Arabidopsis thaliana: one gene and its partners. The protein of the gene in region 1 interacts with the protein of each later gene in a pairwise test. Each region holds a gene or a part of one and is shown in the gene's direction. Other genes may lie near its edges.

The links.
Region 2: the proteins of CNBT1 (region 1) and CAM7 interact in a two-hybrid assay, tested with the Arabidopsis thaliana proteins (one study listed by BioGRID).
Region 3: the proteins of CNBT1 (region 1) and CAM6 interact in a two-hybrid assay, tested with the Arabidopsis thaliana proteins (one study listed by BioGRID).
Region 4: the proteins of CNBT1 (region 1) and CAM4 interact in a two-hybrid assay, tested with the Arabidopsis thaliana proteins (one study listed by BioGRID).

What each region holds. Positions count from the first base shown.
Region 1 is NC_003074.8:6,047,063-6,053,201, forward strand, and holds CNBT1 (cyclic nucleotide-binding transporter 1), read left to right. Parts: upstream 1-1,751; 5' UTR 1,752-2,011; coding exon 2,012-2,506; intron 2,507-2,599; coding exon 2,600-2,791; intron 2,792-2,886; coding exon 2,887-2,985; intron 2,986-3,071; coding exon 3,072-3,209; intron 3,210-3,289; coding exon 3,290-3,538; intron 3,539-3,642; coding exon 3,643-3,885; intron 3,886-4,013; coding exon 4,014-4,159; intron 4,160-4,259; coding exon 4,260-4,337; intron 4,338-4,464; coding exon 4,465-4,594; intron 4,595-4,747; coding exon 4,748-4,994; coding exon of another isoform or gene 4,995-5,032; exon of another isoform or gene 5,033-5,109; coding exon 5,110-5,387; 3' UTR 5,388-5,613; downstream 5,614-6,139. Other genes in the region: CNGC19 (cyclic nucleotide gated channel 19), read left to right, coding at 53-198, 272-349, 429-558, 669-909, 1,000-1,277. UniProt on the Arabidopsis thaliana protein: Probable cyclic nucleotide-gated ion channel.
Region 2 is NC_003074.8:15,662,490-15,668,219, reverse strand, and holds CAM7 (calmodulin 7), read left to right. Parts: upstream 1-1,750; 5' UTR 1,751-1,864; coding exon 1,865-1,940; exon of another isoform or gene 1,941-2,586; intron 2,587-2,739; exon of another isoform or gene 2,740-3,227; coding exon 3,228-3,597; coding exon of another isoform or gene 3,598-3,601; exon of another isoform or gene 3,602-4,088; intron 4,089-4,833; coding exon 4,834-5,032; 3' UTR 5,033-5,220; downstream 5,221-5,730. UniProt on the Arabidopsis thaliana protein: Calmodulin mediates the control of a large number of enzymes, ion channels and other proteins by Ca(2+). Among the enzymes to be stimulated by the calmodulin-Ca(2+) complex are a number of protein kinases and phosphatases. Activates MPK8 in vitro.
Region 3 is NC_003076.8:7,213,960-7,217,668, reverse strand, and holds CAM6 (calmodulin 6), read left to right. Parts: upstream 1-1,616; 5' UTR 1,617-1,718; coding exon 1,719-1,794; intron 1,795-2,555; coding exon 2,556-2,929; 3' UTR 2,930-3,195; downstream 3,196-3,709. UniProt on the Arabidopsis thaliana protein: Calmodulin mediates the control of a large number of enzymes, ion channels and other proteins by Ca(2+). Among the enzymes to be stimulated by the calmodulin-Ca(2+) complex are a number of protein kinases and phosphatases.
Region 4 is NC_003070.9:24,773,742-24,777,644, reverse strand, and holds CAM4 (calmodulin 4), read left to right. Parts: upstream 1-1,660; 5' UTR 1,661-1,859; coding exon 1,860-1,935; exon of another isoform or gene 1,936-2,103; coding exon 2,104-2,133; exon of another isoform or gene 2,134-2,840; coding exon 2,841-3,214; 3' UTR 3,215-3,385; downstream 3,386-3,903. Other genes in the region: AT1G66420 (DNA-binding storekeeper protein-related transcriptional regulator), read right to left, coding at 1-461.

The sequences.
Region 1 (6,139 bases):
TAGTCTTTGAATCACTCTTTAACTAATGTTGAAATGTTTTCAACTCTGAAAGCAAATAAGCACACTTGCTGGAAACTTATCCCCAAGTTACTCAGTGGGTGAGGTTTTCTTTACAATGGGTATCATTGGACTAGGGCTTTTGCTTTTTGCGCGGCTTATCGGTAACATGCACAACTTCCTTCAATCACTTGATCGAAGGTAAATCACATTTCATCAACAATGTTCTGAAAAGGGATGGTGAATTTCTTGGCTAATGCATGTTCTGTTTTAGGAGGATGGAAATGATGCTGAGAAAGCGTGATGTGGAGCAGTGGATGAGCCATAGACGTTTGCCAGAAGATATAAGAAAGTCTGTGCACTGTGGCATTTGATTTTCTCAGGCTGTGTAATGTGATATTCATAACTAATCAACTGTTCAACTTTTTCAGGAGGGTGAGAGAGGTTGAGCGGTACACTTGGGCTGCGACAAGAGGAGTTAACGAAGAATTGCTATTTGAGAACATGCCTGATGACCTTCAAAGAGATATAAGAAGACACCTCTTCAAATTTCTCAAGAAGGTAATAAGCAACAGCCTCATGACAGCATTAGTCAGTATTCATTTTGTGTACTCAGACTCCACAGTGTTGCAAAAAGCTAGTTCTGAATCCAAGTGTTAATGAGTTTGCAGGTGAGAATATTTTCGTTGATGGATGAATCAGTTTTAGATTCAATCAGAGAGAGGCTGAAACAGAGGACTTACATAAGGAGTAGCACGGTGTTGCATCACAGAGGTCTAGTAGAGAAAATGGTATTCATAGTGAGAGGTGAGATGGAGAGCATTGGAGAAGACGGTTCTGTTCTTCCTTTATCAGAAGGAGACGTTTGTGGTGAAGAACTTCTCACTTGGTGCCTCTCTTCTATAAACCCCGGTACTAATAACATTTGAGTGTTCATAACTCTTAATGTTTTTTGGTTAGAAACTTGGAACTTTGGAGCTGAATACGTTTTGAAACTTGCAGATGGGACGAGGATAAAGATGCCACCAAAGGGATTGGTTAGCAACAGAAATGTTAGGTGTGTGACAAACGTGGAGGCGTTTTCGCTGAGTGTAGCAGATCTTGAAGATGTAACAAGCTTGTTTTCAAGATTCTTAAGAAGCCATCGAGTGCAAGGAGCTATAAGGTACGAGTCTCCTTATTGGAGGTTACGAGCAGCTATGCAGATCCAAGTGGCTTGGAGATACCGAAAGAGACAACTCCAGAGATTAAACACTGCTCACTCCAATTCCAACCGTTAAATTTGATGATGATGTTTGGTTTGGTAGATTAGTAATTTTATTTTGAAGTATAAAGCTTAGTGATTCACTATAAAAGATGAATCGATGATTCATTCGTTGTAATCAATTCACTCATTAGTGTTTCTTAAGTATCTTTTTGCTGTTTTTCCAATCATACGGTATAATTTTACTTCAGGTCACTCGGCTTGAGTAACTTGGGCTCATAATTTCGGCCCATTCTAATTGATCTTAAATTAATAATTAATCAAGCCTGGATAATGAATGATTTTTGCCTTTTCGGTACTTCTTTACTGTAAGAAGTTAATTAAGACAAAGAAACGGAAACAGCCATGTAGTTAATGACATTTTGCCTCCAATAATTAGGGCCAATTAATTAGTTACAGTTGGTAATCAAATAAAGGAATTTTCGAATTCGTGAATATTCAAAAGGAAATAAATGTTAAAAACACAGAGGAGAGAGAAGCCTCACGGACACGAAATAATAAACAATGTAATAAAAGTCAGTGTTTGACTTTTCCAGACATGAGTTTTATTTACAATAATACACTTCCTTGACCTGGGCTACGAAGAAGAAGACCCCTGACTTGGTCATCATCTCCTTTCTTATTTCTTCTTCTTCTTATCAAAATTACTAAAACTCTCTGCTTCAACTTCCTTCTCCGCCTCAAATTTTCCCTTTATGCCTAGATTCTAGCCTTCTAGGGTCTTCTTGAAACCGTGATTTTGGTCAAGAAATGGCTTCCCACAACGAAAACGATGATATTCCCATGCTTCCGATTTCAGACCCATCATCTCGTACTAGAGCCAGAGCTTTCACTTCCAGGAGTCGTAGCGTTTCTCTCTCAAACCCTACTTCCTCCATTGAAGGATTTGACACTTCCACTGTGGTTTTAGGCTACACGGGTCCTCTTCGAACTCAGAGACGTCCTCCTTTAGTTCAAATGAGTGGTCCTCTTACCTCTACTCGCAAGCATGAACCTCTCTTTCTTCCTCATCCTTCTTCTGATTCCGTTGGTGTCTCTTCTCAGCCTGAGAGGTATCCTTCTTTTGCTGCTCTTGAACATAAAAACTCCTCAGAGGATGAGTTCGTTTTGAAACACGCAAATCTCTTGAGGTCTGGACAATTGGGAATGTGTAATGATCCTTACTGTACTACTTGCCCTTCTTACTACAACCGTAAGGCTGCTCAAATCCCTACTTCTAGAGTTTCTGCCCTTTTTGATTCCACGGTAAAGTTTTGATTTTTGTTACTTTACATTCACAAATATAGCTTCAGGATCAAGTAAATGTCGTTGAAACAGAGTCTTTTGTTTTCTTGCTAGTTCCATAACGCTCTGTATGATGATGCTAAAGGTTGGGCAAGGAGATTTGCTTCCTCTGTTAATAGATACTTACCTGGAATCATGAATCCTCATGCCAAAGAGGTTCAAACCTGGACTAAATTCTTCGCCCTTTCATGCTTGTTAGCTATTTTTATAGATCCCCTCTTCTTCTTCCTCATAAAAGTCCAAGAGGTATGTTTTTCCTTCAGAGATATCTTTTGCTTTTCCAAGTGTTTTTATCTTGCCTTTACACCACCTTTTTGACCATCTTTATTTTCTCACTGTAGCAAAACAAATGTATTATGATTGATTGGCCGATGACTAAAGCATTTGTAGCTGTAAGAAGTGTAACAGATGTTATATTCACTATGAACATTCTACTTCAGGTGCTTTTCTTTTGCTTACATTTTTCCATCTCTTTATAAACAAAATATGTTGGCTTTAGTGCTCACGTTTGCCATATTGGTTGCAGTTCCGATTGGCCTATGTAGCTCGTGAGTCTACGGTAGTTGGAGCTGGCCAGTTAGTTAGTCATCCCAAAAAAATTGCCCTTCATTACCTCAAAGGAAAGTTTTTCCTTGACTTGTTCATAGTGATGCCACTTCCACAGGTATTGTTACGTTAGAGCTCCTACTGGTTTTAAGTAATGGTAATCAGAAGATGTTCATTTATGTTTTCTTTTGTTTACAGATATTGATACTATGGATAATACCAGCACATTTGGGTGCATCCGGGGCAAACTATGCGAAAAACCTTCTACGAGCTGCAGTTCTTTTCCAATACATTCCAAAGTTATATAGACTTCTACCGTTTCTTGCTGGACAAACACCTACCGGATTCATATTTGAGTCAGCTTGGGCTAATTTTGTTATTAATCTTCTCACTTTCATGCTTGCTGGACATGTTGTTGGTTCTTGCTGGTATCTATTTGGTCTGCAGGTATGACAAACTCTCAAAATGTCTTTCATTTTTATCTTGTCCTGATCAGCAGAAGATGCATAAAGTGATTTATATTGTTTCCCGTTTTCTGTTGGTTCTTTCAGAGAGTTAATCAGTGCCTTCGAAATGCTTGCGGTAATTTTGGGCGTGAATGTCAAGATCTTATAGATTGTGGTAATGGAAATAGCAGTGTATTAGTACGAGCTACCTGGAAAGATAATGCGAGTGCCAATGCTTGTTTCCAAGAAGATGGTTTTCCTTATGGAATCTATTTAAAAGCAGTCAATCTTACCAATCATTCTAATCTCTTCACAAGATACAGTTACTCTCTCTTCTGGGGCTTCCAGGTAACTGTTTTTTTTTTTCTCTCTTTCAGTTTTTTAGTAGGAAACTAAGAACAACTACTCAACTACTTTGCATTGATTGGCATACTTGGAACTCTTCATTAAGATCATTAATTTTATAATTCTCATAGCAAATCAGCACTCTTGCTGGCAACCAAGTCCCAAGCTACTTTCTAGGGGAGGTCTTCTTTACTATGGGTATCATTGGACTAGGGCTTTTACTTTTTGCGCTTCTTATTGGTAATATGCAAAATTTCCTTCAAGCTCTTGGTAAAAGGTAAACAATTCCATCATTGTACTAAAATAGATATTTCAAGACATAATGGTTGGTTCTATAAACACTAACTACTCAGGTGATTGTGTTTTGTCCATATTAGGAATTTGGAAATGACGCTGAGACGGCGTGATGTGGAGCAATGGATGAGCCATAGACGGTTGCCAGATGGTATAAGAAGGTATGTGGACTTTGCCTATAAAACTTTGTTTTATCCTTTGAATATTCTTTTTCTTAAAGAGTTACATTGGTCTCAGTTTCAGTAGTTTCACTATTAAACTAACTGAATAATGGTTCGACATTATCAGGAGGGTGCGAGAGGCTGAGCGGTTTAACTGGGCTGCTACTAGAGGCGTTAACGAAGAATTGCTTTTTGAGAATATGCCTGATGATCTTCAAAGAGATATAAGACGACACCTCTTCAAATTTCTCAAGAAGGTAAACATATGTGAAACTTCTGTATGCATAGATCCCAATTCCATATAGTGTTGCAAAGAGCTAGTTCTAGAAGCTGTAACTGCAAGTAATAGTTAGAGACCACAGATTAAACCATTGCTGAGAAATAGTATTGAAATTTGAATGGGTTTGCAGGTGAGAATATTTTCGTTGATGGATGAACCAATCTTAGATGCAATCCGTGAGAGGCTGAAACAGAGGACATACATAGGGAGTAGCACAGTGTTGCACCGTGGAGGACTAGTTGAGAAAATGGTATTCATAGTGAGAGGTGAGATGGAGAGCATTGGAGAAGATGGTTCTGTTCTTCCATTATATGAAGGCGATGTTTGTGGTGAAGAACTCCTCACTTGGTGCCTCGAACGCTCTTCTGTAAACCCCGGTACCATCCCTTTTGACTCTATCTCTATGTGTTCATAAATCCCAAAAAGTTTGGTTCCTTAGATGACACTTCGTTAAGAAAAAGCTTGGAACTGAGTATGTTCTGAAACCTTCAGATGGGACGAGGATAAGGATGCCATCAAAGGGATTGCTTAGTAGCAGAAATGTAAGGTGTGTGACAAATGTGGAGGCGTTTTCGCTGAGTGTAGCCGATCTGGAAGACGTAACGAGCTTGTTTTCGAGATTCTTGAGGAGTCATAGAGTCCAAGGAGCCATAAGGTACGACTCTCCATATTGGAGGCTACGAGCGGCTAGGCAGATTCAAGTGGCGTGGAGATACCGTAGGAGACGGCTTCATAGATTATGCACTCCTCAGTCTAGTTATAGCCTTTAGTTTGTATTCTTCATTCTTGATGATACGCTTAAAACAAAAATAGGGTTCCAAAGCTCAAGACTGCTCATAGGCTCATAGCAATGCTCAAAAGTCAAAACCTCACATTCTCCAACACGAGGCAACAACAAAATTTAGATCGAAGTTAAAATCCAAGTATTCGGTGTGCTCGGTAAATTTTAATGATAAATGAAAAAAACATAACAATATATTATATTATAATTCATTATAAACAAAATTATAAGATAATCTATATTATTAATTAGGAAGCATTGTATGAACTACAACATTGTAAGGGTAGTTTAAAACTAACTAAATGAATTTTTGCATGGGTAATTTAGTAAATTAACAACTACTACAACTAAACAAATATCTTGGATTTTGTTTTTAAAAAAAACGAATTAAATCACTAAATTAATAACTACCCAATATTTTCGGAAATCATTTAAAAACGTTTTCATAACATATTAGGTTATTTTAATTCAAATTGTATATATGTAAACTTATTTCTTTTGGTAATATGTTATTAGATAATTTGGAAACTTCAATCTAATTTAATAACAAATTATCATTTACTTTAGATTTTATACAATTTCCTTAACAAAACTATGTTAATTGTTTCTGATTATTACAAATAAAAATAATTTTAAATTATGATTTAGCATATTCAAAAGAGAATTTTTGGATTTTAGATTTGTAATTATCTAAAAAATAGTTTCAGTATACATTAAAATATTTAACATTTTAATTAGAAT
Region 2 (5,730 bases), 9.6 Mb from region 1:
AATACAAAGGGAAACATATAACTGCACTGTTTATTAACAATTGTCTTGTGAATTCGTGTTATACCGTTACTTAATAACAATTATAAACTATAAAATATAATTTTTCTTTAAATAGATACAAGTTGTAAACCTTAATATATACTAACGTTAAAATCGCCTAGACCAACGTTTGGACATCAATATAGAATATCAGGTTACATCAATGTATCAAATTCAATATGAAATATCAAGATACCATAACAATAATACAGAAATATCAAATTCAATATGAAAATCTGATTTTTGCTTTACTATTAGCAGAAAATTCATGATCTGGACATAAGTAGTTAGTAGATTAGCCTAAGTTAGTAAAAATTAAGTTACAAACCTAAAAAACAAATTTGTCACAAAACTAGAATTTTTTTATTTTTTGGAATACGGGTTAAATCTTTAATTTATTATTTTTAGCACCACTTATCAAATCAGTCTGATTAGAAAAGATTATATAAAATCAAAAAATATTTTGTGGTATAGTGCTACTTAATAATAATTGTAAACTATAAAAATAATTGATGACAATTATATAAATTTTTTAAAAATCGTAAAATCAACGCAATTGGCGGGAAATTTTTCTACAAAAATTTTCTACTAAATTACGGAAAAACCGTAAAATCATTCTCAATCGTCTACTAATATTTATTGTCTAACCATTTTCTTTCTTGTGTTATAATTTTGAAATGTGATAAAATAAAGAGAATTTATAATAAATGATTATAGATTTGAAAAGAATGTACAAACTAACCTTGAGTCACAGTAGCTTGTCGGAAACATATTGGAGAACACATGTAATTACATAAATATCCTTTGTAACATGTTTTTTTTCCGAAATACATGCGATAACATAATATCTCTTTTTATCTTGTTATTTTCTCTTATTACATAGTATTTATAAAAAGCACATGGTATTTTATGGAAAAAACATTCTATTCAGTTTAATATCTCTTTTTATCATGATATTTTGTAGTAATACACATTTTTTATTAAGATCACACGTGATTTCTTTAAAAATATATTCTTATTTTTTAGTAATACACGGTTTTATTAAAATCACATATAAATTTTTTTTAAGGATTATGTTCATGTAAGAAAATTTCATAATAATGTTTTTTCTTAAAAATTCATGACGTTTTTTTAAATAGCATGTTTTAAAACTAAATATAACATGTGAAATTTTAATGTTACATGTTATTTTGAAAAATTACACGAATGTGTTTCGTTTACAGTTCATCTTACAACAAATGAAAGGTAGCTTTGTTATTTCATTTCTTCCGACAACATGGGTCCATGGTTATTTTGTAACAAAAAACTTTCTCTCTACTAGTTTCTTAATTTGTATGTTTTATTTGGTTATCTAATATTACCCTAAAATAAACTTAGCAAATAGAAAATGAATTTTATCAAATTGCCTACACCAATGTTTGGATATCAATGTATAATATCAGGTTACATCAATATATATCATACCAAGATACCATAACAATAATACAAAAATATCAAATTCAAAACTATTAGCAGAAAGTTCATGATCTGGACATAAGTAGTTAGTAGATTAGCCTAAAATAGTAAAAACTAAGTTGCAAACCTAAAAAACAAATTTCTCCCAAAACTAGAATTTCTTAATTTTTTGGTCTGAGAAATTAAAAGAGAAAGACGTTTAGGAGGGCAAAATCGTCAATTCAAAAATACCTCATTTTACCTGTAGCTGGTGAGATCTCATTTTATAAAGGAGAAGGAACATTCACTCTCACGCGCTTCAACTTTCTCCAGAAACAAGAAAATATCACAGCAAAAATTTTCTCGAGAAAATCCGAAGAAGACAAAAAAAATGGCGGATCAGCTAACCGATGACCAGATCTCCGAGTTCAAGGAAGCTTTTAGCCTATTCGACAAAGACGGAGATGGTCTCTTCTTCTTCTTCTTCTTCTTCTTCTTCTCTCAGATCTCTTTCTCTTGTCGTTTTTTTTTTAGATTTCTTCGCGGTGATCGTGAATCTCTGCACATTTCGTTTATTGTTTCATGTGATTTGAAGAACGATCTCGTTTTGATTCGTTCAGTCTTGCTCACATCTCCAGAGTGTTTAGGGTTGATTTTTGCTTCTATAGAAGGATCTAGAATATGTAGAATCTCCTTTAGTATATTCGTTGATGATTACTAAGATTTGTAGTTATGGAATCTTGTTTAATTAGGTTATTCATCATATTCTAGATCCTACATTGGAATCGTACATTGGAATCTAGTTGTTTCTCTGTGATTTACTATGATTCTGAACAAATCCTGTGATTATAATCATGCGGATTTGTACGTTCTCACAAAATTTAGTGGCATTGTGGTTTTAAGATTCAATTGTAACATGTAGATTTATCTGCAGATGTTTATACTCAAAATCTAAAAAACGAAATTTGGTTTATTGTGTGATGTTGCCAAATAGAAAAATAGAGAAAGAAGTTGATAATATCATCTCTGTTGTTCTTCTTTACAATAGTTGAGAACTTGCAACGGTGTGCATTTTGTGATGCTTATTGGCAATACCATCATATTTAGAACATTGTGCATTTCCTGGCCTTTGATTAGAAAGAGGCTTTAAATGTTGCTTGGTGGTTTGTGTGCAAAAAGTTTCTTTGTTAACTTGGTAGATGTTTCCCGAACAATCAGTTTTACTTGTCGTATACTATGATTGGGGTTTAAGAGTATTTTACTAAGAGCATTTTTGAGCTTTCTTGTGAGAATAGGTGCATTTCCTGGCCTTTGATTACTAAGAGAATAACATCATATTTAGAACATTGTGCATTTCCTGGCCTTTGATTACTAAGAGAATACCATCATATTTAGAACATTGTGCATTTCCTGGCCTTTGATTAGAAAGAGGCTTTAAATGTTGCTTGGTGGTTTGTGTGCAAGAAGTTTCTTTGTTAACTTGGTAGATGATTTCCGAACAATCAGTTTTACTTGTCGAATCGTCGTCCTTTTAAATGAGATATACTATGATTGGGGTTAGTAGTGTAAGGATATTTTACTAAGAGCATTTTTGAGCTTTCTTGCATTTGAAAACTTGACATATTACTTGTGTTTAAGATAATTGGTTTATATATCTTCCTGATCTTGTTGACAATATTAGTGTTCATAAAGTTATACTCGGAACTCTTGCGTTACAAAATCTGAAGTTGTGTCCAATTTTGGTTTGATTGCAGGTTGTATCACCACAAAGGAGCTTGGGACTGTGATGAGATCACTTGGGCAGAACCCGACAGAAGCCGAGCTCCAGGACATGATCAACGAAGTGGATGCAGACGGGAACGGGACAATAGATTTCCCAGAGTTCCTGAACCTAATGGCACGTAAGATGAAAGACACTGATTCAGAGGAAGAGCTTAAGGAAGCCTTCAGGGTTTTTGACAAGGACCAGAACGGTTTCATCTCGGCGGCTGAGCTTCGTCACGTGATGACAAATCTTGGGGAGAAGTTGACGGATGAGGAAGTCGATGAGATGATCCGAGAGGCTGACGTCGATGGTGATGGTCAGATCAACTATGAAGAGTTCGTCAAAGTCATGATGGCAAAGTGAGATTCTTCTTATCCCTCGAAATCCTAAGCATGTTTTTCTTTTACATCTTTAAAACTGAGAAAAGTAATTTATTGAACCAAAAGAAACAGAGAGATTTGCTTCCTTGTTTGTTTTGTTGATCGTGATTTTTTGGTAACGTTGCTTCTTCTTTGCCTTTTGGTTTTGTTATTGTCCGTGACGTTTGAACTCATAATTTGCTTTAGTCTCTCGAGTCATGACCACTTGATGATGTTATTTTCTCTTTTCTCTAAAATATTGCAGTTTATTGAGATCGACTAATTATATCCATTACGTGGAGAAATAATTGCTTACTAGTTGCAAAAACGTGCACTGTAATTGTTTAAAATTTAGTGTCTTTGCAAGAACAAAGTAGTAGTAAAAGTTCTTGGGATCAAACATTTTCTATTTCAAATACCCACTTAAGGCCCAATGGTATGGTTGATAAGGCTGTTAAGGTTGTGAGGGTTTATTAGCTGATGAAGGCCTATCTTGTGAGTAATAGTACTGTCAAACTACTCCATCTTGTGTGGTTCTCCCCTAGATTATATTTGAAAAAAAACTAATTTATCTACGTATAGACATTTTTCTTACTATAACATTAGCTCTAATTTGAATTTGATATTTGGATTTATAATACACATAAACGTATATAATAGTTTGTTCTATATGTTTTTTATTTAATTTTATTTTATATGTTTATTTAATTATAGATATAAATTTTCCTCAATTGTTTAATTTTTTTCTATATTAAAATTGAATTATATTTTATTTTATGCAAAATCAACTTTTAGTATTTACAAGTTAGTCATTAAAGTTATATTTATAACAATTATTATAATTTCCACTATACTAGTCATAGACTCATAGTTCTAGTATTAGTATCAACTATATACTAATAGAACCATAAATTTGTTTGTTTTTTGTTTTTTTAATAAATCTTATCGACTGATCCGGTCGGCCCGTATAAACTATAAGTTTGTTTTTATAGAGTTTTTCTAATTTAGTTATTGTCAATTTAACATTCAAGCTCATTAAGTTTTCTTTAGTAATATGTAAGACTCTTTTTATGCAATTCAGTTCATATATCTCTCTTCTCTTTTTTTTTTTTTTGTGACGAACTAAGAAACAAAAAAGAATTGACATTTTACAGTTAATTCTATTATCTTCTTCATTTCTAAACCCCAAAGAAAGAAGGAACCAACTACTCGGTTTTTATTGTTTCTTGTTCTCAGTCATGTTTGGGAATGCGCAAGTAAATTGATAAAGAAAAGGAAGAAGAAGAAGAAGAAAAAGAAAAAGAAGAAGACCAAAAATGCTAAAAGGAATGAGAAAGAATTGATCCAGCATAACCCCTCACAGCCCGAGTCACATCGCGTTCCTAGCCGTTTGAATCTCCTCTGCCACCGCTCTCATTCTTGCTCGATTCTATAGCTCACTGTACTTGCTGATCAAGAACTAACTTAAAACAATGAAGACGAAGAATAGTGAAAGCTAATAGTAGATAACTTGCATATATCGAGGGATTGTTTAAAAAACATAATAATAACCTTGTATATAGGCTACGTAATGGCATAAAGAAAAGATTGGTTGGTGGATTACCATGCGAGCCGCTGGTAGAGGACTAACAATTATGTACTTGGATTCAAACCATTTAGTTTAGTCCTAAGAAAAAAAATTAAGTTACCAAGTTTATCTCTAGGAATTTAGAATTTTAACAGTTTTATAGATTTATATTCATCTTGTAAACGATAAACGATAAACAAAACCAGTAGTGTCTCCAACCGCCGAAATGTTAACAATTAAACGATAAACATAGATTTTTTTTTCTATGATCAATTTTAGAAAAATAAAATTTACAAACAAGTATTTTAATTATTAAACTTTGAGAGAATGAAATGTAATAAAGAAAAGAAAAAAAAATTAGAAAATTTTTTTTGACCCACGTCTCCCTCTCAAATGCTCTCTTTCTCTTTATTTAAATCTGTTACACCTCTCTTTCTCTCTCACCAAACAAAAACTTTTTCGAATATTTTAGTAATTATAAATAGTAATTGTACTACTTCTCCAATTAAGTTACGGAAATGTACTGTTTTCTAAACAAACTCAAAGAAAAAGGTTAAAAAAATTAA
Region 3 (3,709 bases), on another chromosome or scaffold:
AAGCGAGATTCTCGAGTTAGCTACAGAACTAATCATCATCACCATCATATAATATAGAGATTATGCACACTTTACACATAAACCAAAAGCGTAAGCAACTCTCTAAGTTACCGAATTACTCATCGAATTCGAAGCAAAAACATGGAGAATCGACCAACAAACCTGCAAAATTGGACGGAGAAAAGTGAGCGAGTAGAGGTGACAAAACCGATGTAGCCGCCTTTGGGGAGCTCAAGAGTTAGCAGGAGAAATTCAAAAGAAAATCTATGGCGGAGAATTCGCAGGAGAAATAAAAAAATGATGGGCTAATACAAGGAGCAACAAGAGATAGAGATGCGACGAAAGAGATACGATGATTGTAGAGAAATTTGTAGCTAACAGACAAAAACTTATTTAATTTCGTGTAGGGACTCTCTCACTTTAATGGACACTTGTTTTTTAATTTTTTTTTTTCGTATGGGACAATTATACGTTTCTTTCCTTTGTTAAGCTCCTCAATTTTCTTAAGAAATAAAATTATGTTTTTTGCCTTTTTTGGTCAATTATTTTGGGTTAATTAATGTAATGACAAAATATTTGAGTATTCAGATTTTGACTAGATATGGACCTAATCAATAGGTGTTTTTTTTTCTTTCTCATTTGAGTTGTTTCTAAGTAATCGATGAATTCTTATGTTTTTGTTACAGACCATTTAAAAAAAAAAATAGTTGTAACTGATTTTATCCACTATTATATATTTTTAAGTCTTAACTCTGAAGTATATATGAGTTTTTTGTAAGAAAGAAAAACCGTTGCTTCTTCACTCTCACTTACTTACTAGTCACTACAAAGTTCAACAAAAGTCATACATTGCAACCGTTTTGTGTAGTGTCAATGGTTATAGACTGATGACAATTATTAGAACATTGAACAAATCATCAACGGCAAAAGCTCATTAGACTCATTTGTAGCGAGTACATATATATTCTAGAGGTGTGGAATAATAAGACTCATATAAATGATCGAACACTCTTTTTGTTTTTAATATAAAAACTAAAAAAATTTAAAAACAGTTTACTTGGAAAAAATGTAGAGATATTGACTAACTTTTTTATTAAGTATCCATTTAAATTAAAACAAAACATGTAAAATCGATTCAAGTTTAACTATTTCTACAAAAAAGTGTATTCATGTAAAATTTTTGCTTATACATATCCGTTTCTGTAACGTAAATTTAGAGGATACTCTAATCATTTCATATGTATCCATATATTATTTTTTTCAACATATTATAAGTTTTTTTTTAATTTTCCAAATTAATTAATATCCTTAAATATCTATCCTAGTTTAAAAACTTTTTATAATTAAATATTTAAATGAAAAAAATAATGTCAAAAGTTTAATTGATATACTGTAAAATATTCTACTAAATCAGTTTTGAAAATAGTCAAAAAAAATTAATAATTGTTAATTTGATAGATTTATTACCTAGTATATATGTCTAAATTAACTGCAAAGGTTATAGTTTTCTTTATAATTGTCTTAAAAAACTAAACTAAAAAGACAAAAAAATCATAAGAATTACTGAATTAGCTAGTAAATCTTTAGAGGCCCAACCATAAGTTGTTGGGCTCTCTCTCTTTTATAAGCTCTCTTGCTGAATTATTATTAGAGAGGCAAATAATATATTCAGTAGCAAAAAAAAAATCTGGGATTTCTAAAAAAAGGTAAGAAGGAAAATGGCGGATCAGCTCACCGATGACCAGATCTCAGAGTTCAAGGAAGCCTTTAGCCTCTTCGATAAGGATGGTGATGGTATGTTTCTTTCCCAGATCTTTGCGTTTTTTCCCCGATGATTACTCCGTCCGTATACGAGTTCTGGAATTTGTTTGACAGATTTATGATCTTCTTCAGTTTTCTGTATGATTCGTGTTTGTTTCACTTGTGAACGATCTAGCTTTTGGCTAATTCGATAGCGATTCATGACTCACGCTGTGTTTTGTTCTTGTTCTGGTTCAGTCTCGTGATGCAGCAATGAAATGTTTTGGGAAATTTATCCATATGTTGAGATTTTGAGTAGTTTAATTGTTGAAAAAAGGATTGATGTTGTAGATATCAGGAATGTATTCTGCTTTGATTGGTGAAAAACTTGCAAAATTCTGTTGTGCATTATTGGCCTTTGCACGGTGAGATGTGGGTTCAATAGAACGAAGTGGCTAGGGTTTTGATTCTGGCTTTGATACCATGTAAAGAGATTTGGAGAAGAATATTGTGTCTTTTTAATACACATGATTCTAGATTTGCTAGTACACACACATAAGGAAAGACGGAATAAACACAGAATATTTCTTTTACCCTAACACTTTAGGTAGGACTTGGAAGAGTGATTATTTTTAGTTTGTATGAATGGAGTTTCTTTGTTAACTTAGTAGGACTTTGTTGAATGAAAAAAAATCATTCTCTTTTTTACTTACCAGATCTTCATCAGTCGAAATAAGAAATACAATGGCTTTTGTTTGTTGACTGTGGATATAAGTCTGTCTCTAAAAGCTTATTATACCTGAATCTGGTTGCAGGTTGTATCACCACCAAGGAGCTCGGAACCGTGATGAGGTCTCTGGGGCAAAACCCAACAGAAGCTGAGCTTCAAGACATGATCAATGAAGTTGATGCAGATGGGAACGGGACCATTGATTTCCCGGAGTTCCTGAACCTGATGGCAAGGAAAATGAAGGACACTGATTCAGAGGAAGAGCTCAAGGAAGCTTTTAGGGTTTTTGATAAAGACCAGAATGGTTTCATATCTGCAGCAGAGCTTCGACATGTCATGACAAATCTCGGTGAGAAGCTATCCGATGAGGAAGTTGATGAGATGATCCGAGAAGCGGATGTTGATGGCGATGGTCAGATTAACTATGAAGAATTCGTCAAAGTCATGATGGCTAAGTGAGAGAATTTTATCTTAAGCCCACAAAAAGAAACAAGATTTATGATTTCTACAGTGAAGTTACATTATGACTTGATTCTGGTTGCGTTCTTTAGGACATCATTTTGCTTATTTCCCTTGTTTGTTTGGTTAAGCCTTTTAGTGTTATGTGAAGTATGAACTCATATTTTGCTCTCTTTTTTGGGCATCTGATTTTATTCTGTAAATTTTTGTTAGTTGTTGTTTATCTTAAAGCAATGCCCTAAAATTTGGCCGCGTTTAAAATACCAGTAAGAGAATTGACCAACGAAAACGATTTTGCAACATCGCCAACGTTATTGTTATTTTACATGAAAAATATAGTAGTTATATGTATCAATAAAATTTACAAACCATTTTGTTTCTTAGTTTGTAAACCGTAAGTCCCTAACCTTCAAACCTTTTTTCCATTAGGATCATCAAAATTGGAAATTCTTTAGAAACAAATGTAAGTAGCCTCTAAATCTATTGTTGTCTAAAAGTTTTTTAAATGATCAAAGAGGTTGTAAACCTAATTTCGTACACTCCCTGATGCTAGAGAGACCAAAAGATGTAATGTGACCATCTCCCAAACGAAAATTGGACTCTTGACCTCTAGGTCCAGAGACTCTTTAGTCAACTAAGTTTGTTGGTGGATGCTTGGTTTATATAGGGTCAATGTTAACCCGATCCAGATAGCGAACCGGACTACCTTATAGGTCATCAGATCATCGTATTCACCCGCGGGTCAAATTATTATAATTTATTCTATAGAGATTATATAGT
Region 4 (3,903 bases), on another chromosome or scaffold:
TTCCTTTTCCTCGTATATTTCCTCTTCAATTGGCTAATCTTGCCAATGTATTGTTGCACACTAGCCTCGAAGCTAATGGAGTTCTTGACGAATTCTATAAACCCGTGTCTATCCTCAAACGGACTTTTCCCTGTAACATCTTCAAATTTAATAATTCCTTGTAGCATAACAATCTCATCTTCCTCACTCCACAGTCTTTGAAAATATGGGTTTTTTGTCCATTCTCCAACTTTCTTCTCATCTTCTGCTGAAACCTTCTTGGCTCTCTTCGAAGTCATGTCCGTTGAGGTCCCTTCACTCCGACGCTTCATCTCAGACGGTTGTACCTTGCCGGAGCCGCCACAAAACTCCTCATTCTTCTTGGAAGTTGCACCGGTCACAAGACCTGGAGGAAGATAAATAACATCATCTTCTTCATCTTCAAAACATGTCTCCAACGGCTTGAGATGCTTCTTTGACATATCAGAATCTTCAAACTACGATTTTGGTTGTGGTGTGTAATGAAAGCTTGGGGTTTGTTTAAGGCAACTACACGAATTTATAAATTAAAGAGCTTGTTGTTTCTCGGTAGATATAATGGCCAATAGGGTATAAGTTGCTTGCTTACTTTTCTAACTTCCAAAACCCATACAATGAACGATCTTTTTTCACATGAGCGTAATGATGATTTTTTCTTTTCCCAGTAAATTATTTTGAAATTAAGAAAACGAAAAAAAACGACTAAACCGAAAATAAATTTTGTCTGAATTGTTTTTGGTAAATAGGTTAGATCATCTCCATCGGTTACAATTTTGAGAGTTGCTTTTCACTAATATAATATAAACAATTCATAAAGGAGGAGAGAGAATAACATAATTACAGAAACGTTTCTGTGCAGAGAAATTTTGAAGTAATTAGACAACTGAAAAAAAGAAAAGAATATATTAATTACAAAATTAAGTCATAATAAAATATTAGTAATTTTTTTTTTTGAGAAACTTTGAAGGTTTCTTACCAATGGAGATGACCTTAGATATTCAACAGTTTATGTTTTCAATGTTCACACACATTGATGGAAAACATGCCATTACAAAAGATGTATATAGATAATTTTGAAATCAGTTAACATACCTATAAGTGTTCAAATGATAGTATTAGGTTAGTTAAAATGTTGGCTTAACTAATTTTGTTTTTAGTAAATCATAGATTTGGAGGTAAATTTTGTAGTCCCCGAGATTTAAAATAATAACAGATTTTAATCTTCATCTGAAGAAAATTGAACAGTTGTTTTGTTCCTATCTTTAGAAACTACTAGTTCAATCCTTTTTTTATTATACAGTAAGTAATGTCAACTTTTACTATAAGATTAGGTCTTTACTCTTTAGGATAAAACTGTTTTTAAGTAAACACAATTTTATTTTAAACTCAAAAGTAAATATTTGCTTTTCAGGGATGTCAAATAAAATGATGATCTGAATAATAAAACAATGGTAATTTTGGAAAACTTACAGCTTAAAACTTAAGTACTATTGTATTATTGAGGATTGTCTTATTTATCATTCAAAATTGAAAAATCATTACTTTTTAAATATGTAAATTGTTTTATTAAAACATTTTTAAGCCTTAATGTGTATCCAAGGGCCCTTTGGGCTTCCTCTCAAGTCCCACATCCACTAATCACATGATTAGCTAAAAACCCAACTAGTAAATTATTATTATTATCTTCCGTAAACATTTAATTTCGTTTTAACTTTTTCCTCATTGTCGTATAATTGTTTTTGTCGGTCGCTAAGATATTTTCACAGCTTCGGAGACTTCAGGAAAAAAAAAAATCATTTCTTCTCTGAAACGAAAAACCAAAGAAACGAGAAGAAGAAGCTATGGCGGATCAGCTAACTGATGAACAGATCTCTGAGTTTAAGGAAGCTTTTAGCCTCTTCGACAAAGATGGAGATGGTTAGTCTCAATCTCATCTTCTTCTTTTAAATCTCTCTTGATCGTTGTTAAAACCATAACGGATCTCATTTTTTCCGATTTCGTCTGCGATCAGCTTCAGATTCAGAAAATATTTGAGTCTGATTCTTTGATACGCTTTGGATTTGGTCTAATCTCTGGTTTTGCTAGATTCGATCTCTGATTCAGGTGATTCGTGTGGTGAATTGTTACTTCGTTGTTGATTGAATCGTTTGATTGTCTCTTTTGATGTAGTTTTGTTCCATCTCTAAGCATGGATTTGTGATTTTGATGTTTCTTTGAAGGTGACTTATATTGAAATGTTACTAGCTTTGTGCAGAATATCATGTTCCTGATTCTTGTTCTGAATCGTCTTTTTGTGTCATTCTTCTGTAGTTTAAGTAGGTATATTGCTATAGATTTCAGTTCAAAGATACTGTTTAGTTTTAGCACCTGTCATGCTTTTTCCATAGCCAAAGATATTCAGATTCTAGTGTTTTTATGAGATTCATTTAATGGTCATGTTTTTGGTTGATTAGTGGCTTTTTTTTGCTCAAAAACGTTTAAACAAAAGACCTGGTTTCATTCATGTTTCGTATGTATATCAATCTGACTTTGTTATGGGAATCTACTTGTAAGGTGGTATGTAGCTACAGGTTTAAGTTCTCTGATAATATTTAGTTTCGTATGAGAAGCAAACAGTCATGTATAGTCATGTATGTTTTAGAACAGATCATGAGTTTTCCATAATGAAAGATTCCAGAGTCTAGTGCTTTTTTTTTCTGGCATCCATTGATGGTCATGTGTTTAGCTGTTTGTTGGCTCTTGTAGCTTAAAAAAGTTTTATTGGAGACTTATTTATCACAAGACCTGGTTTTTATTCATGTTATCTTTTACTGATTGAACAGGTTGCATCACCACAAAGGAGCTGGGAACAGTGATGCGGTCACTAGGGCAGAACCCAACAGAAGCTGAGCTACAAGACATGATCAACGAGGTTGACGCTGATGGAAACGGAACCATTGACTTCCCTGAGTTCTTAAACCTAATGGCTAAAAAGATGAAGGACACAGACTCGGAGGAAGAGCTGAAAGAAGCTTTCAGGGTGTTCGACAAAGACCAGAACGGTTTCATATCCGCTGCAGAGCTTCGCCATGTGATGACGAATCTAGGTGAGAAACTGACTGATGAAGAGGTCGAGGAGATGATTCGTGAAGCAGATGTTGATGGAGATGGTCAGATAAACTACGAGGAGTTTGTCAAGATTATGATGGCTAAGTGATGATGATAAGAAAAAAATGAAGAATAAAAGTGGTGATGTGATGACCTTTTAGGCTTTTACTATCTACAAAAGAATGATTCGACCTTTAATGTCTTGGGTTTGATTTGAGCCTAGTAGTTTCTTAAGGTTTTAACAGACTGAATTTGTGACTTATCTTTTTTTATTTTGTTGGTTTCTTTCTCGTTGGCATAATGGCATGTTTAGATTTCGGTAACTAGAGTGGTCGCAAAGCTTTTACTATGCAAAAAGTTTACTTAACAAGCCTAAGAAGACTCGATAGTTTGTTGCAAAACTCATACATCGAGATAGAGTGAATACAGAAAGAGAAGCAAAATCAAGTGTAAAACAACCATGGGGTGTTATAAGCCCATTTATAGGCTAAACTCCCATATAAAGAGTCGGACACAAATAACCGACCTAAATTCGAAGGAACCGAATTGAACCAGAACCGACATGAATACTCGAATGGGTCCTAAACTGTTACATTCGAAGATCCAATATCAAATCCCAGCCATCCGAATCAAGAACCGAATGGGTATCCCAAAAAAACTGAAATACAAGTATATACCCAAAAATATAGTTATATTTACACTTGTAGTCATTCAAATACCCAAAATTACAATGATAAACTTGAATATACTCCCTTGTCAATACGAGAGGTCAAAGAAGATGATGTTACCAAAAAAAAA